Drosophila melanogaster: one gene and its partner. The protein of the gene in region 1 purifies or fractionates together with the protein of each later gene. This does not show direct contact. Each region holds a gene or a part of one and is shown in the gene's direction. Other genes may lie near its edges. The genes, in order: Arp10 and DCTN4-p62.

What was found.
Region 2: the proteins of Arp10 (region 1) and DCTN4-p62 purify together in Drosophila melanogaster (affinity purification with mass spectrometry, with the first as the bait; one large-scale study listed by BioGRID). This does not show direct contact.

What each region holds. Positions count from the first base shown.
Region 1 is NC_004354.4:19,644,151-19,648,076, reverse strand, and holds Arp10 (Actin-related protein 10), read left to right. Parts: upstream 1-1,900; 5' UTR 1,901-2,160; coding exon 2,161-2,231; intron 2,232-2,291; coding exon 2,292-2,444; intron 2,445-2,494; coding exon 2,495-3,407; 3' UTR 3,408-3,546; downstream 3,547-3,926. Other genes in the region: Ranbp21, read left to right, coding at 1-502.
Region 2 is NT_033778.4:7,666,958-7,670,883, reverse strand, and holds DCTN4-p62 (dynactin 4, p62 subunit), read left to right. Parts: upstream 1-1,854; 5' UTR 1,855-1,938; coding exon 1,939-3,483; 3' UTR 3,484-3,636; downstream 3,637-3,926. Other genes in the region: CG12826 (uncharacterized protein), read left to right, coding at 1-334; Rdh1 (retinol dehydrogenase 1), read right to left, coding at 3,649-3,880.

The sequences.
Region 1 (3,926 bases):
GAAGGCTGTCAACATCGCAGCGCCCGTGATGCGTTTCCTGGCCGCCGAGAAACTAATGGACGAGAACAAGGCCGTCACGGCCTTTACCGCCGTCCTGCAGGGCATGCAGGTGCACGGTCAGCACGAGGCCAACCAATCGGGCCTGGTGACGCTGGGCGTGCAGTTCTACGAGCTGCTCCGTCCGCAGTTCCCCATTCTCAGCGAAGTGCTGCAGCATATCCCCAGCGTGAATGCGGCCGACATTCAAAAGTTCGACGAAAAGATTGCCGTGGCGCCCGTCAAGGGCAACAAAGTGGATCGCGCCAAGAAGGACATCTTCAAAAAGCTGACCGCCCAGCTGGTCGGACGCAGCGTGAACCAGTTGTTCCGGCACGAGGTGCAGATAGCCAATCTGCCGCCCATGCAGTCGCACAAGGCCAAGGGATCCATGGGCACCACGGCTGACATCATGGATAGCAATCAGAACGCGAGTCTGGCCAGGCTCTTTGGGCCGGAGAAGTGACACGGAGCGCAGCGGAAGCAGAAAACGAGATACACAAACGAACAGGAACAGGATAGGAGAAGCAGGAGGAGGCGTCGCAGCGGAGGCGGCGCCACCAGTGACACCACCTCTGTCCTGGTCGAGGACCGGGATCAGGAGCATGTCGAGACCACGGCCACCTCAGCTGCCAAACTAGCGACGACTGAACTGAATGTAACTGTAAATTAGCTTAGACGATGAGTTCGCACTTTTTCTCGCCCTTGTCCAAGACCATGACCCAGTCCGTGTCCCAGTCCCAGTCCCAGTTCCCAATCAGATCTTACAGTTATTAATTTATTTATTTTAACAACTAAATTTTAAGCGTACCCGCAATGAAGCAATTTTTTATTGAATTTGTCTCATGCGGGCATCGCAACCGCTTCGATCCGAACCGTTTCCCCCCCAGTTTCTGGAGGAAAATGGTGACTCGTGACTTGTTACTGCTTTGTTATTTATTATTCGAAATTTGTTAAACTTGTTTGCTCAAAGGAACTACTAGAATCGCTAGTTAGCAATACTCCGGCCCACAACCGTCAATCCGCAATCCTTAGCCCTCGTCCTATGGCCCCAGGTCCCAGGTGCTTCGCAGAGACGCCAGAAGACCATTTTATACATAGTTAATTAATTAATTATTTAATGAATTGTGCTTTCCTCGTTTTGTATAGTTACCTATGCGCAGGCATAATGTAATTTATATAATTGTACACATTTATCATTTGAAGGAATATTTCTGAAATTACGCTTAGGTTTAGTTGATAGGCAAAAGTTATTATTATATAATACATCAAATTGTATATGATCACACATCCCGCACCGCGAATGCATCATGCATTATGCAGTATAATAATTATAGCCCAAAAACACACCAGGATACTAAGAAAACATAATGAAATCGAAGCGGTCGACCGTGCAAAAACACAAATCGAAATAAGATAAAGCAGATAAATTTGAAATAAATTTAAAAATTCAAAGTGGAACCGACTTGTTTTAGTAATACGCAATATAATAATTTCAAACAGGACGATATCCATGCAAGAAAACATCACTGTGGACGGCAGTTAATGTAGTGACGAAGCGCGCCCGGAGACTTTGCGATTATATTGAACAAAAGTTGTTCTTAAGATATATGAATTTAATTTCACAAGAATCATTATAATTATTAGCTTCAAACTCGCGAAATTAACTTCTTAAATTCGATAAAGTAGTTTTGTAAACTTACTGAAAAGCATACATATGTATGTACACTGCAATAAACTAAAGTAAAGTTGATTCTATTTGTACGTAAGAGTTAGACCTCTTAAAAGCAGAATAATCGACTGACACCAAATGATTCCGAGCTACTTTCAAAATTTTATCTTGTTGGGTTTTAAAAGCCATAAAATACCAAAATACCAAATTGAATGTATTTCAAACCAATAGGCAAAGTTTTAAAGTTACCCAGAAATTTGAAAAGCGTGCCAGTAAAACGGATGCCATTAGTGGAAACAGGGTGTTTGCTCGCTACATCGTCAATCGATGATTTCCGCACACCGATAACTTCTTGTTTTGGCCAAAAATTAAGCGAACTGAACAATATACCATTCCATGGTCTAGTCGGTTCGTCCAGCAAAGGAGCAAGCAGCCAGCAGACAGCAGCCAAGATGCCCATTTACGAGAGCGTGATGCAGGAGAAGCCGCCCATTGTCCTCGACATTGGCACCGCCTACACCAAGTAAGCAAACGCAAATAATTCGGCGAAAGTGGTATGAAGTCATCACTGCACCCTTTTCAGGCTGGGATTCGCAGCGGAGGCGTATCCGCGCAAGATCATGCCCACGGAGGTGGTGATGACCACGACGGGGATCCGGAAGCGTCTGTTCGACTACGACACTCCGGAGGAGCTGTACGACCAGCTAGTGGATTTTCTGCAGACGATCTTCTTCAAGTAGGTGACTCGGTGGCTTTGGTTTCTATTGCAATGTAATTTCCTTCTAGGCATCTACTGGTCAGCCCCAAGGAGCGCAAGTTCGTGCTGGTGGAGAACGTGTTCGGATCCACTGTGCTGCGTGAAACCTTGGCCCGCGTGCTCTTTGTCCACTTCGACGTCTCCTCCGTGCTGTTCGTGCCCGTGCATCTCATTGCGCTGTCTACGCTGGCAGTGCCCACTGCCCTTGTGGTGGACGTTGGCTACAGCGAGACCAGCGTTATGCCCGTCTTCAGCGGGGTGCAAATCATGGCCGCCTTCAAGGATCAGAGCTACGGAGGCAGCGCCATCCACGCGGAGATCAAGCGGCAGCTGGTTGAGAGTGGCGTTAAGGAGAGCCTGCTAACAGAAAGCGTGCTGGAGGACATCAAGGTGCGAACCTGCTTTGTGACCACCATGGAAAGAGCCAAGGCCCGCGCCAACGGCGACGAGAATCAGCCGACTCCCGCGCCAGACGTGGACTACATTGTCAGCGACAACGATGCGGTCATCCAGGTGCCCGGCCTCCTGCGGGAGTCTGCCTACGAGATCATGTTCGAGGCCAGCAACGAGCGGGACAGCCTGCCGCATCTCATCCTGCGCTCCATTCTCGACTGCACACTAGACGTGCGACGTGCCCTGGTCGAGAGTGTGTTCCTCGTGGGCGGCGGCTCAATGGTCCAGGGTCTGCTGGCCCGCCTCCGCCAGGAGCTGCAGCATCTGCTCACCGAGGATCCGTTCTACGCCGAACGCTTCCATGGCGAGCTGCAGTTCAAGTTTTTCAATGCTGTCGGCAAGCAAAACTTTACTGCCTGGCTGGGCGGCGCCTTGTGCGGCGCGACGGATCTCATCCAGACACGATCGCTGGTCAAGGAGACGTATCTAAAGAGCGAGCACGTTCCCGACTGGAGCAACCTGTGCGATAATAGGCCGACAGGCTCGTAGACTCGAGGGCAGTCCCGGAAGATGGAAATATGTACGCTTCGGCGCTTTACTGGTTACGCGTACTAACATACTCTTGATTATTATTCTGTAATATATAGGTATTAAATATTTACGAAATATAGGCTAACGAGCTTTAAACAAAATATTGCTTGTACGTTTTCTGGACATTTATTCTTGGTTCTAATGATGATGTCGGTTTATCAGCTTCATTTACAACTTTACTTTCTTCAAGCAATGTAACGTTGCGTCTCTCAGAGTTAAAAGAATCTCATTTGTACACGGAAAATCAATTTAACATTTATTAGCGGGGATGCGCACCCCAAACAAATGCTATGAAGACGGGTGATTCCTTTTTACATTTGAATCTTATTAACTAACTTGTTCATGAATGGAATATCGAAACATTACAATACGTTTTCGTACGTTTGTGTAGAATTTTGTTAGAAAGGCATTCGCTGAATGCACATGGTCCATACATATAATGCATGTTAACTAAACGAAAAAAAAAGACGTTGATCT
Region 2 (3,926 bases), on another chromosome or scaffold:
AGTGTCCGAGGCCAAGCCCACCTACTACGACTTGGATAGCTACGAAAACTACGACACAGATCGCTATGACAGCTACGGCGGGTCCTCGTACGCCCTGACCTACGGGAAACCGTTAACGGACAACCGCCTTAAGAAGCTGAGTCCGGGCTACTACTACGTGGACGATGGGTACATCGCCCCGGTGGCCTCCAGCGCCGGCTACACCCGCCGCGAGGGCGTCTCCGCCTCCGACAGTGGCTCCTTGCCCCACAATGTCAAGTTTACTCCCATCGTGCGCGTCCGGCAGACCAAGACCAAGCGCAAGAAGCTCTTCGTGCCCAACTTCTTTGGCTAGAGGGGCTTCCCCTGCTCTCCTCCTGCCGGGACTGAGACTACAGACTGAGGATGATAGCATAGGCTTAGCATTAGCATTAGTCGCGTGGCTCCCACACCAAAAAGTACCTTATACCTATACGTTATCTATTTTATACGCGGTCACATGTCTGACCACATTATATTTATATACGCAAAGCTACTAAATAAAAATATCCAAAATATTGAAAACATATATCAACTTTAAAAACGAATGAGAGTCCTGATTTCAAAATTCATTTTATTAAAAGCAAACATACCGACTTTATAACGAAGTATAAAGTTTTATTATAAAGTTTTTTATGGAATTTCACAATAACCTCGATAAATCCAAAATATATTTAAAATTTTAGCATCTTGTAAACGCTTTCGCTGGTAACGCCCCCACTTTTGAATGAAAAGCGCCGTAAAGAATTTTATGAACCGTAAAGTGTGTAGATATTTAGTTTGGCGATTTGGTGCTAATTGACCACTTAGGTGATTTAATGAACTCAGAATAGCATTGTTGCTACTTATATGACGTACAATAAACTTTTCCCGATGATGTGATCGTTCAAAATAAAATATTCGTAAAGCAAAAACATATTTGCTCTCCTTGGGAATCCTAATACATACTCGAAAGTCCATGAATTCATATTCCTTTTTTATTTAGCACATATAAAATAAAGCCTAAAGCCTAAAACACTTCTTCATCAATTATAAAATTAATCTAGACAAAAAGTATATATTTTGCTGTACCTAAGTGCTGTACTAAACAAACCCGTAAGAATGTGGTTATATTGTTTTCAATAAGAAGTTTGCAACGCAGTCAAGAAGACATTTGTGACTATGTGAAGGACATATATTCTTGATAGCCATGTCCTTCAGTCATTACTTTCGTTTCTACACAAGAACTGTTCGTAGAAGTGTTTCCATTGCAGGTACAATTTAATTTGAATTAAAGAGCAAAAATACATATGTGAATCTCTTCGTTGATTATGATAAAAAAATATTTTTGTTTGGTATACATTAGTTTTTTGACAATATATAATTTCAGTTTTAACTTGATTTTTTTATGAGAAATTCTTCTTATTATTAGTATTCTTCTATAAGATTCGGTAAGCTTTTCTTTCTGTCGTATAGATCTATATTTATGAGGGTGGACAATGCTTACCATTCCGAACATTGACACAATTTCAAATAGAAGATAATCTAATAATAAACACAAATATTTATATTAATTACTTCGAAATACCGTGATGCATACTCCATAGATCAGATATTTTTTAAAATTGTTCTACTTTTATGTATTATGGATTAGTAATTTTTAAAAAATGAGCGGGATAAACAGAGTACCTTGGACGATCCACTTCTGGTTAGTGGGTAATGTACTTTATAACCATTCACTCTAGGATATAAAAAGTACTAATCAATTTCATAAATTCATAACCGCCAATTCACCAGTGCTGCCCAGCATTGGTACGCCCATAGATGACTACATATAATCGAGTCATCGACTTATCGATATAACAGCTGTCGTCATTACTGCAAGAAGAGGACAAATTTGCAAATTTACTAAGAAACCAGGAGAAAACTAGCGTCGTCAAGATGAGCTTCATGCAACCGAGTCCCGTTAAGTACGCGTGCTCCTGCGGCATACTGAACCCGATCAACACGCTGTTCTTCTGCCGCCACTGCCCCAAGCTGCGCTGTGGCTTCTGCGTGACGCATGAGATCGAGTCGCACTTCTGCTCCAACTGCCTGGAAAACATTCCCTCCACAGAGGCGCGCCACAAGAAGAACTGTTGTGCGAACTGCTTCGACTGTCCTTGCTGCCAGCACACCCTTTCCGCCAGAGCATCTACCGTTCCGGTGGTGCGCAAGTCGGAGGAGGCGAAGGAACCAAAGGATGGCGACTCCAAGGGCGAAGCCACGCCCCCAGTCCCGGCGAGCAGCAAGCCCTCTGCGGTGCCCACCACAAAAAAGATGTACTATTTGTCGTGCTTGTCCTGCCGATGGACCACGCGAGATGTGGGCATTCCCGACCAAGGCGTGGCCACGGGCACCTGGCCGGATAACGAGTGCTTGTACCAGGCGCGATTTAATGCTCTGGTCGAGTACTTCCAGGCGGTGGTGCTGCAGGAGAAGCAGGAGAAACTGGAGTTCATGCGGCGCAAGGCACCCAAGCAGCACAAGTTTCCCAGTCTGACGGATCGCACTGGACTAACCGTCTCACTTATTCGCCGCCAAATCGGCTGGAACGACAAGGCTCCCAAGGCTAAAGCCGTGATAACGCCGGCAGAGGCCACGGCGGAGGTGGAGGGCCTGCCGGAGAACATTTTCACGGAACCCTTGAACTTGCGGAATGTGACAACCATCACCCAGCGACATAGCCAGCCGGCGGACCAGCCCACGGCCGTTGGGAGTCTTTATCCTCAGCGCAGGTCCCTGTGGATTAAGCGGTCGCTTCGTTGCCGCCAGTGCGAGCACAATCTAATCAAACCGGAGTACCATCCCACATCGATAAAGTACCGCATTCAGCACTTCGCCAGCTACCATGTTCCTGAAGTGGTGATGGTGCGCTGCGAGCAGCCACTGGTGGCAGGAAAAAGCAACGCCATTTTGCTGAAGCTCACGAATCCGACTATATACGATATGACAATTCGACTGTTGACTGCATCTCCTCCTGAGGATCCACAGCTGTCAACAGAGGCCACTCGTGTTGCGAAAGAGGAACCCATTTCTTCGTCCCCACTTCTAAAAGCAGTGGGCATCACACTGTCGCGTCAAAACTCAACACGGGAGGTAAAACGAGATGTGATTGATATATCCAATGCCGAAATAGTTCCGTTGGAGAGCGAGTTCGTTCTGAACCAGCGCGATGACTCGAAAGAGTTCGACGAGGACGTGCAACTGTCCACCGAGGAGCCCAAGTTTATTGTCTGGCGGAAGGGCAACAAGGTGCTTTTGCGGCTACAGTTTACCCCAGCAGAGGAGCTGTCCGGATTAGCAGACGTCGTTCTGGGCTTCTATATGCAGTACACATACGTCAACACCGTAAACAATGCGCAAGAGAAGAGGGAACCCACAACCCATGTGCTCCACTCCAGGGTGTTTATCACGGCGGGAGCAACTGAGCAGAAAGCCAACTAAACTGGAAACTTATTAGCCAACAGGCGTACTAATCGACTTATGCGAAATATGAAATATGCTTTATGAAAGCTAGAGAAATATGTATTTATTTATTAATCCGTTCGTGAAACAGCAGCTAGTATTCAAGTATAATAAAAGGCTTGTTCTAACACTATTCGTTCTTCTTTAGTTATTAGCTTCCAGCTTATCTAATCCGGTCCACTTCTCGCTCTCGGCCCACAGGAACTTGGCAACCTTATCGTCCAAGGCACCAGAAGCCACAGGCTTTGGTTTGCAGTCACTGAAGTACAGGCCAGAGATGTTCTTAAGCTCCGGATCCAAAGCAGCGTAAATCGAGGTCTGAGCTCCACTCTTCGGTGTCTTTAAAAGCGGCCAAATCATTGGCTTTAAAAAGAACCTAGGAAGGTTAACAGGTATTACTGGGAAGGTCCTAATTCACTTAT